Alligator mississippiensis: one gene and its partner. The protein of the gene in region 2 interacts with the protein of the main gene of each other region in a pairwise test. Links are inferred from orthologs where the notes say so. Each region holds a gene or a part of one and is shown on either strand. Other genes may lie near its edges. The genes, in order: RALYL and RBM41.

The links.
Region 1: the proteins of RBM41 (region 2) and RALYL interact in binary tests that used the Homo sapiens proteins (3 or more experiments, as listed by UniProt). The two-hybrid records come from large-scale screens. The link is inferred for Alligator mississippiensis from reciprocal best matches to the Homo sapiens genes RBM41 and RALYL.

Annotation. Positions count from the first base shown.
Region 1 is NC_081826.1:51,195,227-51,202,363, forward strand, and holds the start of RALYL (RNA-binding Raly-like protein), read right to left. Parts: upstream 3,227-7,137; 5' UTR 3,001-3,226; exon of another isoform or gene 1,915-3,000; 5' UTR 1,828-1,914; intron 1-1,827.
Region 2 is NC_081831.1:41,689,375-41,696,689, forward strand, and holds the start of RBM41 (RNA-binding protein 41), read right to left. Parts: upstream 3,251-7,315; 5' UTR 3,152-3,250; coding exon 3,144-3,151; intron 700-3,143; coding exon 583-699; intron 1-582. Other genes in the region: NUP62CL (nucleoporin-62 C-terminal-like protein), read right to left, coding at 6,691-6,782. UniProt on the Homo sapiens protein: May bind RNA.

The DNA of each region.
Region 1 (7,137 bases), on a different chromosome or scaffold from region 2:
GTAGTGCAAGTCTAACACTTATTATCTTGGACTTCAAGCCAAGATAAAGTGAGCAAGATTTGGCTTAGAGTCAGCAACTATCTACTATCCAAATTACTCATACAACACACCTGCAACATTGAAAAAAGGCAAGACAAGCCATGGACCAAAGGGAAGTCAGCTGGAAACTGCTTGCCTAATGTATTTGTTTAAACATCTACACAATACTAAAAATGTCTGGCTAACTGTCCACTCTCCTCAGTTTCAAGAAAAAAACCCCTGTAATTTAAAAAGAAAAGGAAGCAACAGAAGATAGCATTCTGATCACTATTTATATTCATGTATTTCTCTCCATCTCCATTATGAAAATATAAGCAGTCTGAAACTTCTTAAATGTGATTATTGCACCAACAGATTGTAAGTACTCCAAAGAAATCATCATCATCTATCAGATAAATATCTAGATAGTGGCTTCTTGAAACATGGATTATTAGCTCAATATATTGTCAAAGGTAGTCAGTCCATCATGTCAATGCAGATGCCATGCATGCAAAGTACATCTTTTTACTAAGTATGTTTATTACACTTTTGTGGAAAAAGGATACCATCCCTGTATAATCACTACATTTCTACAGAGATAGCCGAGGTCAGTGGATTTTGTTGCTCCACATACTCAGCAAAATGACTGTGCATCACACTTGGTATACAAACTTCCCAATTTCAAAGAGCAAAGTAGTTAGAAGAATACAGTATCTGAAGCCTTTAGCTTCCAAATGCCCCTGTATTCCCATCAATTCAAAACTGACAAAAGGTTTGCTTACATCTGGGGAGGGAGGGAGGTAAACTGTTTCTCAGAAGATAATTTCCTTGTTATGGCTGAATGCAGAGTATATTTTTAGAAGGGTGTTATAAATCTCTGAAAATTGTCTACACACAAATGCTTTAAACAGTCCCATCAGCATAAAAGTAAACACAGAGAACACTGCAGATTGAAACAATCAGTACTTCAACTTTAACGAATCACTTCCTTGGAAGGGAAGAAGGAAATCACCACACCTCTCACTTGGAAAAATCTCTCCAAATCGTATTTTAGTGATCCAATACCCTGCCTCTAAATCAGGGAGCGTCTTAGGCACTGCAAAACAGTTACATACTCTTAATAGGAAGTAACAGTTTCTTCCCCAATCCTGAACTCTCAGTGACCGTCACGCGAAGTCACCGTTTCCCATCCCTGGCAGGCAAGTAACATTAATAATCATCCAAACAAAACGAAACACCTGAAAACAAAGATCGGCTCCTAATTAATCTCCATCCCAATGAGCCAAGCCTGACAAGAGCCGATCTGCTGCCTTGATCATTCCTGAATAGGAGGAACAGAAGTTGGAAATCTCCTTCAGGATATGGAGTATGTCTGGCAATGAGCCAGCCTCTCGCAGGGCTCCTGTTCTGCTGCTTCTCTCCCAGCCACCTAAGACTTTGTAGTGGGCATTTTCTACACCCCCACACACATCATATTTCCTACTCGCAATCCACTCCTCTTATTTTTAAGCCCTCGAAGTGTCCCCTCTCACCACCAGGTTTCATTGCGGGTCGTGGCCCCCCCAGCCACCCTGCTACACAGTACAGTAGAGAAACCACCACTCGCAGCTTCAACCGACCTGAGCTCAATCAGTGCAATATTTTGCAAGCATCCACGCGATCAGGCGGCAGACAGGGATTTAGTTTCATCTTCCTTCTACTGCGGGAATACCTTTAGCTGCGAATCCGGAGAGATTGATATATATATATTACAAAAAAAATCTCGTAATATAATTTACAAAGAGTGGAAACGCCTCCAAGGAGATGTACCTGCACTGGGGAGATGCTCAGTTGTTCACTTCATCTTCCGTTGACAAGGAAACCAAACCGCACTTCATTCTCCAGGAAAACCTTCCACTGCCACCATTTGAAAATGTATTTATTGGTATATATGTATCTATCTAGCACCAGCATCATCATCATGGCAATCACAAGCATTATAAGATTACGCAGGTAAAAGAATGAAGAAGTCAAATGTGCAAAAGTAAACCATCATTGGCTTGGATTTTTTTTTTTTTCTCTCTCTCTTTGGGTTGGTTTTAAGGAGGAGGAAAAAAAAGTATTTAAAAAGGATCAACTGCCACGAGCTGCAAGAAAAGTTTCACGTTATAAACGGGCATCAAAAGCAGAAGAAGAAGGAAGGGGGAAAAAACGTTGCTGACTGCACCGAGGGGCAAAAGGGGGAAACCACAGCAAAAAGCAACAAAACGAGCATCTTGCACCCGGTTTGAATTTTTTTTTTTTTTGCAAGATCACAAACTCTTGGTAAACACGGCTTGTAAAACGCACTTGCAATTCCCCACCGAAGAAAAAAAAAAAAGCAACACACCAAACAATATTAGTAAAACCCCAAGAAGATGAAAAACAACACCAAAATTTCAAACCCCATCCGGGATTAAAAAAAAAAAAAATCCTCTGCAAAAAAATAAAAAGGGGAGTTATAAGACATATGCCTTTTGTTTTTGCTCTTTTTTTGTTTGAAAAAAAAGCAATGCTTTCTAGGTTATACTGTGCACCACAAAACCAGTTGCATACAGACAGAGAGAGAAAGAGAGAGAGAGAGATGAGAAAGGTCTGGCTAGAGACAGAGCCCGTCTCTGGACTGGCGAGTCGTCTCGCTTATCGCTATCGGGCTCGTCCTCCCGGCCAGGATCAGGCCCCTGCCATCCCCGCCGACTCCCAGCCCCGGCAGCACCGTCTGCTCACAGTTTGGTCCCCCATCGCATGCTAGGGAAAAAAAAACAAAAACCAAAAAACTTGCCCTCAGGAAAAACAAAAAAAGGATCAAATCCCTGGAAACAATAATCAAAGAGGAAGAAGAAGAAGAAGAAGAAAAAAAAAGAAGCAAAAATAAAAAAGGAAGAAAAAAAAACCCGGGACAAAAAAAAAAATAAAAAAAAAGGAAAAAAGGGAGGACAAGAATGCCGGCGGAAAGGTACTCACCGAGCGGGAGTAAAAGGGAGGAATAAAAATGAGTTACTACAAAATACAGTATGGCGGTGGAGGAAGGAATGAGGCGCTTTTTCTTTTTTTTTTTCTTTCTTTTTTTTTCCTCCTCTTTCTATTTTTTCCCCTCCCCTCGCTCCGGTCGCTGCCTCAGGCGGCGGGCACGTGACGCGCGGCAGCCAGGCTGACTCGCAGGCAGGGGGGGAAGGGGTGAACCCCACCGGAGGAGCCCGACTCACTCGCGCGGCGGCGGCGGCAGCGGCGGCGGCGGCGGGGCGGAGACTGGAGCCCGCAGCGAGCGGCGGAGGCTGGAGGCGGCGGCAGCCAGACAGGAGCAGGTGCCTCTCGCACGGGCTCCGCGCGCTGCGTGACACACACACGCACACTCACATACACACACGCACACGCACGAGGCAGGCAGGGGACAGGGCAGCTGGCGGCGGCTGCAGTCGGGGGAGCGCCGGAGCCCCCCCAACCCACCCCCACGTGTGTGTGTGTGTGTGTGTGTGTGTGTGTGAGATGCGCGCGCGTGTGTGTGACGCCTGGGGTGTGTGTGTCGCACGCTGGGGCCACAACTTGCTCCCTCCGCATCTCGAAGTCCCCCCTCCCCGCTGCCCTCGCCTGGAGCCTGCCCGGTGCACCTGGCACCTGCGGCTTCCCTCCCCCGGCGCCGCGGGCAGGCAGAGGTGCGGGGCTGGGGCTGTGCCCGTCCCGCGGGGCCGGCTGCAGAGCTCTGGTCCCTGGCGCTCCCCCTACCTCCGCTGCCCCGGCGCCAGGGGCGCTCGCGAGCCGGGGCTGGGCTCCGCGAGAAACACCCCGGCGCCGGACCCTTTCTCCGCCTACTCTGCTCGGGTGCCCTGCGCCCCTGCACTGCCCTGCCCTGCCCCCCGGGGACAGGTGGGTCTGCTGCTGTCAGGAAGGAAGTTCCCGGCAGAAAAGCAGCGGCGCTTCACCCTCCGGGTCCCCCGAGTTAACTCCGGGGAGAGGAGCTGGTCACTTCATGCGGGTGCCCCCTCCTGTGAAAGAGCACGTACAGGATCCGCCCCCGCATCGACCAAGGACGACTTAGGCTTGGGGGCTGGACTGCCCTGTTGCACCCTGCACAAGAAACAACCCAGAAAAGCACAGCCCAAAGGCAAGCCTAGGGTCGTTCTTTCATCATCTCTGTTCCAGCTCAGCCTTCCTCGTTCCCTCTTCATCCGCAAACCCTGCAGTTGCTCGCTGCTGGGAGGAGGAGCAGCTTTCCAGTCTCTAACTGGTAGCCTAGTGAAGGATGCGACCATTTCAGCACGGTAGTGTGAAGCCTCTGTAACTTTTCAGTGAGTCTCGCTGCAGATTCTCCATGTTAAGGGAGCATCTACACGAGGTGGGTCGAGTGCAGTAGACTAAATCTACTGCACATTAGCATGGCAGGCAAAACCTGTGCCAATGCGCTAATGTGCAGTAATTTTAGTCTACTGTGCATTAATGTCACAACAAGACCGTTTCTGCTAATGTGCAGTAGTGCTGATTGCAGCACCATAAGTTAGTATCTGGCATTACAGGTACTAAACTTAATGCACTGTAATTGCGGGGCATTAATGAATGTGTAGATGTGCCCCTTGGGATTCTAAATGAATGGACCAAAATAATTTTGGTTTCATGGAAAAACAAAATGCCATGTCAAAAACTAACAAATCTCGCTGAGTATTTGGTTCATGTAGGCAAGTGGGTATTGCCTGCAGCAGGGGAGGCTTGTGGGGAAAGATATCTCTGTGGAATCAATGTGTCCAGGGCTATAAGTACCTCCACAAACAATACATTGAAAAGGACTCTGCAAGCCAGACAACTCTTATACCAGTGTTTTCCTTCGTTCGCATCTCAGAATTCAGATGTCAGGAAAGGAAAGAACTGTAAGTTAGAATAGAGGATACCAGTGATAGGAATAAGTGCAGAAGAAATATCCAAGTCAGACTGGAGGCCAAAATGAGAAAGTGGTTCCTGTATTCTCTTTTGTTCAGTTATCTTCTTTCCAACCCTTCTGATTTTCCCAAACTTTTTATTTCTTCATTTTAGTCAATTTTTTTAGATCAACTATTTTCCCCTGACACATAAGCAATAGTAGAAACAATGTTCCACTATGCTCATTCTGTTCTACTTTTTCCATTGCCATATTATTCTGTGTGGGTTCAATTTAAACACCAGTTATTTTATGGGAAAACATCCACATAGCCAATCAGGATGCAAAAGAACAATAAGATTACTACTCAAAAAGAAAATTACTGCCTTGATCAGTACAATGATGATTTTCTGAATTCAAGATTGACAGCATCATCTCTGCATCTTCCTCTCCTAACTCAGCCCTTCCTTATCATATGTTAAGTCCATTTTCCCCACAAATTTTCTGTCCTTCCAGTCCTATACCTCTACACTAGTGTTTTGGTGGATAAAAACTAAAACTCTCCTTTTCTGTTTCTTTTTTGTTCTCAACTTGTTTTAAAATTGTAGCTCTCCATAAGAAAGAATAATGGCTACAGTTTAACAATATAAAATAAAACATGCTTCTTTGGGTTTCTTTCTCTTTATTTTTGGTTTTAAATTTGTTCTGGCTTTTCATACGGCTCCCAGCTGCTCTTTTATGACTGAGTTTGGCTTTCAGCACTGGGACTGTAGATCTCAGAACTCTGAGGGAGCTATAAATGGAGAAATATTAAGGGATCCTTAGGGATATTGAAAACCCCTAGGAAATAAAAATGGTTTATAATGTAACTAACACATCAAACAACAGTGATTTACATAGTGACAAACTCAGTCAACATTGTCATAGTTGTGCTATAATCTGGAAATTCAGCATGTATAAAATATATTTTCTTGATTTTCTTACATTCGGTCCCTGTAAGGATTAAGTAAGCACTGCACGGAGAAATATCGTCCAATGAGCTAAGGAGTTAAGCCCAGTCCTATAGATTTAGCAGTATTCAGCTTGAAAGCAAATAAGTAGGTCCCACTAACATTCCTATTTGTAGGATCAAGGCCTAAATTAGAATTTCCTTTTGTTGTTGTTCTATTGCCATCGCTGCTTATTATGTTTTTATAAGTTTGTGCATGTGTTTCTTTCTGAAAAATAAAAATAAAATAAATTATTTAATGTAAGAGCATGTACCACTGTCCAAGAAATCACCTAAATTCTGAGTGATGGATCTGCATCCCATCAGGAACCTGGATAGATATAGTATTTGGAATACATATTTTATGAGTTGCAGTAGATATTATTTATAAATTGGATTGCAGTTGTTTTTGTATCAGGTAAATATGTATTTGTGCATGTTTTCACTTTTAAAGTACGATATTTATTTGATACAGTGTAACAGCCAAAATATCATTGTGCAAATCCATACTTAAACACTTACTGAAACTGCATTGTTCAGTTTGACTTAAAGGTATATATGCACAATGCTGTATTGCATTCTATGTGAGAAAAAAGCTCCAAAATCATAAGACTTAACTTCTCAGTCTAGGCATGATCATAAATATTGAGAAAATGAACTCTCAAGTCTATAAAGACTTGATCATACAGAGTGTAGGTAAAAGTCAGGGAAGAGGACAGGTGATTCATCAAAAGGTGCCCAGAATGGTGATTTTCTGCTCATACTCTGATTATGAGAACTAAATTGTTGGAGGTAAATCCTGTGTGTGGTCTGGCAAGAACACAATGTCCAGGGTAGGTTAAGAAGGACTGAGTAACACATGGGATGTATCCTAATAGGAACTGCTTCTGGCCCTTCTAAGAGGTCTTGGCCCTACAGACTTCAGAATGCTACTGAAAGATGAGTGAAGAGCTTAAGTGAGCGAGATTAGCATCTAATGCATAGATTTTACGATCTGGTATGTGGAAGTGTGCACAATACTCAACAAAAGGAACCATGCTTGTCACCAGCAATGCATGAATTAAATTGAAAGAGAAGGGACGGGGGCCTAACTAAAATCACAGCCAAGGCATAGATGTTTAAATTCAACTCATTGCATGCAAATGATGTGCCTAGTGGCTATTTTTTAATTTTTCATATGCTCCTGCTATCTAGCAATAAAACCTCATTGAAGTGAATTCAAAAGCTGCCTTAAAAGTAACTGACAATATGGCATACCTGAGCAATT
Region 2 (7,315 bases):
GCGGTGGCTGTGTTAATTGCCTCTCCCGCGCTGCCATATTTCTGGACACATGGAGAGCCCTGTGGGCAGATGACATGGCCTACCATGCTAGACAGCCTGAGAGCCAGGGTTCACTCCAGAGCAAATCTCATGCATATGGTCAGACCAGCATGCTGGGCTGGATCCAGCATGTGGGGCCAGGTCAGCATGCCAGACTACACCCAGAAATCAACCCCAAATACCAACCCCACACCATTCATCCTGCCCACAAGGCTGGAACTTTGAGCACCACTGATCTGTCACCAGCAGCTGAAAAATCTAACTGCACCTTGGGTTTGCACATGAAGAATGCTGGGAGCAACAACCACACTCCCAAGCTCACTGCCTGAGTAAGACACTGCAAAAGAAGCTCCTGCTGTGAAAAGTCCCTAATAATTTCTGTTAGAAATTAAGCTGCACCACTATGCCCTCACCATTAGTGTGATGCTTTCCTGCCATCCTTTGTAATCTGAGCATCCTCGATTTACTGGTACACTTGTGCCAGCAGCAGTAGCCTATGTCCTCTGTCTTCTTTTGTATTTTGCCAGCTGGTTCAATACTCACTGTTCAATGGAGACAGTGGTGTCAAGCTGATGGTGAAGGAGGCTCTTCAGCTGCCTTTCTCCTTCTGTCTCCAAATCCTCCAGGAGGACATCATCAGCAGACAGACAGCTGTTGACCCTGGGGAATCACAACCAATGCACAGGTGGTCAGTAGAATACAAAAGGGGCTTCACTCCCTAATACACCACAGTGAACTCTTGGTAGCACACTGATTGCCCCATCCTTTATTAGGACATTAAGAAGACAACCTGACACTGCAGATGGGCTCCGAAGAACATGATGAAACTAAGACTAACCTGAACCATGGAGCTCCCACTAATACCAAGCATAACGTTGCAGAGAGTTGAGACTATTTCTCCAAAAAAAAAAAAAAAAAAAAAAGATATCCCAAGAGTATATTTTTAATTCAAATGGAAGCTTTTATTCTTATTTCCAGAAGACCTATTTTAAGAAATGGATCCTGCTTAGCTTCCAGTGACTTCATGTAAAAAGAAACAGAACGTAAAGCCATGTTCTTTTCTGCCTTTCGAAGGCACGTCTTGTTCCATGTAGGTTACTCTCTACAGAGTAAAGAAGGACATTAGCATTTACTATTTGTGATCCTTCAATTCTAGGTGTTCACAGAAAGAGGTAAGAATGGGACTAGGAAGGAACATCTGACGTTAGTCTCAAACTCCACCTATAATGTAGGAGGCACTGGATGATTCAGTTAACATGGGGAAGAGCAAAAATAATTAGCAATGCTGGCTTTCTAAATCATTATCAAGTCATACTTTGTTATGACGAATGAGTTAGCTCTCACTGTGCTCAAAACTGGTTCAGGCTGTCCATCAGTGGGAATCAAACATGGCTGTTTGGGCATGCAACTTCAAAAGGAAGACTTCCTGCCCTAGTTTCCAGCATTCAGAGGCCCAGGAAGGGCAGGGGATGGATCACTCTGGAGGAGCCCTGCATAAATACTCTTCTACTTGGCATCCACTCTGCTACTGCAAGATAAATACTGGGCTAGATGTGCCTCTGCTTTGACCTGATATGGAACTTCCTATGCTCTTAACTCAGTCACACAGCCAAGGAGGTGATACTTCCCCTCTATCGGGCGCTGGTCAGACCACAGTTGGAATACTGCATCCAGTTTTGGGTGCCACACTTCAAGAGGGATGTGGATAACTTGGAGAGGGTCCAGAGAAGGGCCACTCGTACGGTTAAGGGCTTGCAGGCCAAGCCCTACGAGGAGACTAGGGCACCTGGACCTCTTCATCCTCAGCAAGAGAAGGTGGAGAGGTGACCTTGTGGCTGCCTATAAATTACTCATGGGGGCGCAAAAGGGAATTGGTGAGGCTCTACTCACCAAGGCGCCCCCGGGGGTAACAAGAAATAATGGCCACAAGCTAGCAGAGAGCGGATTTAGACTGGACATTAGGAGGAACTTCTTCACAGTAGAGTGGCCAAAATCTGGAACGGGCTCCCAAGGGAGGTGGTGCTCTCCCCTACCCTGGGGGTCTTCAAGAGGAGGTTAGATAGGCATCTGGCTGGAGTTATCTGAACCCAGCACTCTTTCCTGCCTATGCAGGGGGTCAGACTTGATGATCTATTGAGGTCCCTTCCGACCCTAACATCTATGAATCTATGAAACATATAGGTGAACAGCTCTGTAACAGGGGACAGCTTTCTTCACAACCAGACCTGGAAAGTTTGTCCTTGGATCCTAAATGAAAGCTTTGATTCTGTTTAACTATAGAGGCAAGAGGAGCCCACTTAGACCAAGCTGCTTTGTGTTAACATGGAGATTTAAAAAAAATCTTTTCAGTGGCTTCATCAGTAACAACAAGCCTGAACCTTGGTACTGAAAAACTGCTAAAAACTCTTCCTGGAAAGCCTGCAGACAGGAGAGACTGGGAAGTCCTTATCACCACATCAGCAGCATTTCAAAATAGCTCATGACTTGGGGCAGCAGCATCTGACAGGACAGCCAAAGACAGGGACCAGACAGCTCAGGAGGTGAATGTTGGGCCTGGTCTGCGTCTCCCTCCCTGGCCAACCAACCCCCTTGCCAACACAGCCCACACTCACTCCGGAGCAACTCTGCTAGGGCAGGGCTGTCAAATATATAACCAGTCCTCCAAATCTGGCCTGTGGAGCCCCATTCTCTGGCCTGCTGTGCTGCCCTGGCTCTGGAGCAGACCCACACGTGGCACATGGTGCCACCCCAGCCCCTCACACTGGCCCGGCCCAGCCAGAGTGGGCATCACGGACTCCCAGAGACGTGGGGCTGGAGGGACCTAGTCCAGCCGCTGCCCGAGGCAGGCTGGTCCCTACCCAAACACCTATCCATGGGATAGGTGTCACGGCCCGGCTGGGGCAGGCACCACGCGGAGCGAGCGCTGGGCCTGGGGTGGCTCCACCAGCCCGCGCACAGGTCGAGGAGACGGCAGGTCAGGGCCAGGCCGCTGGAGAGTAAGCTTCGACCCCGCGCCACGGCGGGCCCCGCCTCTCCCCCGTGCCCTACCCCTGCAGCAGCCCTTCTCCGCGCCCCAAAGCCCGGGAGCGAGGGGCCGTGCTCACCTCCGCATGGCCGCCGGCAGTAGCGCGGAGCCCGCCCCGCCGCGCTGCCTAATGGCGGCAAGCGCCGAGCGCTACGGCAGCAAAGCGCCTGGGGCAGCCGGTGGGGAGGCGGGCCCCGCCCCGCCCCGCCCCGCCCCGCCCCGCCCGCGCGGTTTGCGCGCACGCAGCTGGGGCGGCGCTGCGGGGCCGCGCTCGCTGGCTCGGCTCCATCTGCCGGCGAGCCGACGCTGCCTCGGGACCAAGCCCCGCATCCCTTTCAAGCTCGCGGGGGCTCGGCCCTCCCTTGTCCTTGAAAAGTCGTTTCAGTCATGATTTAAATCCCACCCTCCCCCACAAGCCCGGTTTGAAAAGAGCAGTCATGTAACAGGTTTGGAGCCAGCCGCCGTTCCCATTGTCATCTGTCCATCTGCTTAGCAGCTGACTAAGAACCCAAGCCAGCTCTGCCCTGGGGTGCAGGTGCCTTACCAAAAGTGTTGGTGAGATGACAGTCGTCCCTTTGTCCACCTACCACCTTACTGCAACTTAGTGCCTAAGTGAAGCAACGTAGCTGCCTTAGCATTGAGCAACACTGGAGGTATGCTCTCCTCTTAGCTGGCAGAGGTAGTTGTTTCAGGGCTGTTCCAAGACAGAATATGCACTTACAGAATATGAGCATGCAAGTGCTTTATGGCAGTGCTCCCACGTGCAACAGAGATAACAGAGATACCCTAAGCATGGATGAGGAACAAAATGCATTCAGTATGTTTGATGTTGTAAAGTAAATGCTGACAGTTAGATGTTGCCTCAGCTGTAGGAGTCTGAGTTTTCCCAGCCCAATGAAGCTAAGCTGTTTCTCCCTGTGAAGCCTTATTGCTGTTTACCACAGTTTCATGCATAAAAACCAGCTGCAGGAAGCTGGAGTCCACACTATGCAAAAAAAGAGCAGTTTCTGCTCCTTGCCACCAGACGCTGAAAATAAAGCCTCCGCACCATCCACAAGTAAGCAGGCTCAACTCCCTAGCTGCTGCTACTCAGTTACTCACTACAAGCAACATTTTTTCCTTCATCCAGCCTTTCAAAACTAAGGTATCTACCTTAGGCCAGGACCCACTATGCAAGAAAATGGCATTTGTGTCTTGATGCAAGTCTCATACATCTTCAGTGTAAGAAAGTTACCATATAAATTAGGATCAAGTTTCACTATCTGTATAATTAGTTTAAAGGGGTGTAGGTTGTAGCTGTGTTGGTCTAGAGACACAGGCAGACAAGGTGCTTTGGGTAAATCCGATATCTTTTATTAGACCAACTTAAATAGTTGGAGAACAATTTTTAAGCAAGCTTTTGGGTTCAAAAACCCTTCTTCAGGCTAAGGAAGTTTCTGCATTTGGTGTGTGCTCTTCCTGGCTGGAATGAAAAGTCAAAAAGCCAGAGGCTGGGCTGGTATGCATATAAGACAGGCAGTCAGTGAAAATGGAGATTGAGGAGTCAATGGGTGAGACACAGGCGGGGGGGGGGGGGGGGGGGGAGGGGGGCGCGAAGAGAAGGGGGATGAATAGTGAAGTACCTGGGAAGTCAGCTGTCAGGCAGGTTATAATGCATCATAAATCCAATATCTATATTTAGTCCATGCTTTTTAGTGTCCAGGAGGTTGATGAAGTGGAGTTCTGAAGCCCAGAGCAGCATGCAGCTGAAGCCGGCTTCCCACATGCTGCTGGGGATGGAAGGAGCCCAGCAGAAGTGGTGGTGGAGCCATGTGCCACTCAGGACTGACCGGTGCAGGCAGGGGGAAAGTGCAGCTGAGCCCCTGCTCCTCCACCTCGGCTCATCCCGTCCCAAGTGGTACATGGCTCTGTCACAGCTTCTACTGGCCGGTGCAGACGCAGCCGGGCTCCTCTCAACCACAGCAGCACGTGGGAAGCTGACTTCAGCTACATGCTGTCTTTCCTGGCTGGTGCAGACTGTCACAACCCAGTGATTTTGGTGCCTCGACACTATGGAATTTTCTTGTCACATGAGAGCCTCTTGCACAGCGAGGGTTTTTGCTGCATAAAGAACCCGCGTGCAGGAGAGAGTTCCCGCCAATTTGCAGCCGTCTTTGCAGGCTGCATTTTCCCTTTGCAGCACAGAAGTGCACGGTGCAAAGAGTTCCCGCTATTCGAATGCAAATCTGTGTCCCGCTATTGGCTAGTGCTAAATTATTCACACGTGGTGGCTGGTAATTGGCTTGCTGGCCGTTTAAAAATTCGCGCAACTTCCGCCCAAGTTGAAGAACTTTAAGCACACTGCAGAGCGCCTCTAAAGAGATCTGACTTGTGGCTAGCTGGTCGATAGACTGATCACCTATTGATCCTTCTTCCCGTTGCCGAGCGCAATCCCAGACGTACACTTTTCCCGCTGGCTTAAGTTACGGACGGATTTGCTGGCTTTGGCCTCGCCAGCTGGAACAACTTACATTGTTGTTCAGACGACCGGACCGTTTCCGTCGCCACCACCCGCGACGTAAGTAAAGTTTTTACAACCATTAAACCTTGTCTGCCTCTCCATTCACCAGCCCACCCTGACAAACGAGCAATTTCTAAATCACCTCGAGTCAGCTCTGGCTGGCCGAGACACAGACCTGGCCAGGTCCGTCTCATCCGGAGCAGCATGCAGCTGAAGCCAGCTGCTGGGGATGGAGCAAGCCTGACTGGGTCAGCACTGGCCAGCAGAAGTGGTGGTGGAACCTCCTCCCTTTAGAACCAGCTGGAACGGGTAGGGGGAAAGTTCTGGGGGAGCTGATGCCCCTGAAACCCCACTGCTGGGGCAGGATGTTAGAGGGGTCACAACCCCTTGCTACCTGGTAAGTTGTGCAGGGGGAGGGACTTCCAGTGGCAAAGGTCAGGGTTCAGGATGTCTGGTCCCAAGATGGCGACCAGGGGCTGGGGCAACTGAAGGGGTGGGGCTACCCATGCGGTGCTCCACACCCCACCAAAACTCAACAAGTGGCCCTCCACCCGAAATAATTGTCTGCCCCTGATATAACTAGTTATGACCATTTCGACAGTGCTATTTTACCCCATTTTTGGCATCGCGTTTCAGAGGTAAAAGCATATGAAGCCAATACCATAACACACACATCAAGGTAATCCCCAGGAATGGCATATCCAGTTTAGGAACACACTGGGTTATTAGCACACCTACCTTTGTCTCACATTTTGGAATAGTTCCTACAGGAAGATGATAACGCAGCACTCTTTTCAATCGAGTATAATGGGGGATATTTGACATAAGTATATAAAAGGTCGGTCACTTGACTTCACAAGATTTAAAATTGTTGACAACAGCAAACACAGAGTAGATGCACAGGCTGTATGTACAAAGAACATAGAACTGGAGCGTAGACACTGCAAATTTCAATGTGATATCCATTAAGATAGATACTATGAACTACTGGAGCTTTGGAATGGAAAGTACTTTATTGTAATAAAACAAGATGGTATCATAATATTCACTCTGACCCCCCAACCCCCACAAGTTTTACATAATGATTATCAGATGAATATTCCAGCGGGAAGTTTTCTTGAATCGCTCAATCAAAAGTGATCCGAAAACTGCGTTCCTGCTCCTTGCGGCGACTTTCACATACTTTTGTCACCTCCTCCACCTTCCTCTGGAGCAGGGCTGTGGGCAAAGACACATAGGTGATCAACCTAGAAATGAACGTCCCAAGATACAGCTCTGGAAAGCACGGGTATGCATCAGAGTGTCCAAGATAGGGTTCAGAAACGGGGGATGGGGGGGGGGGGAAGGAGAGGGGATTTGCTGTATATTTAAATGAGTGGTGCTCAGTCTTTTGGCCCTGCAGGCTGATGAGTGGTGCAGGGCCAGTCTGCATGCTGGGATTGGTCCCCGCATTGCCCCTGCACACCAGCACAGGGCCCCACACTAGCCTGCGTGCCCAAGCATGATCACATGTGCTAGATGTCTGGTCTGCAGGACTCCCTAAGAGGGCAGAATCTGGCAGCAGGGGAGCAATGATACTGCTGCCCCGCTGCCAAATTTTTGGACCTATGGGGAGCCCTGTAGGCCGGATGACCAGGGGCTGGACCTGGCCCATGGGGTGCAGGTTGAGCCACCCATTTTAAACCAGTTGTGGGTTTTTTAATTACAGTTTTACTAAACTAACATCAAAGCCCTCTTCAGTATAAGCAGCT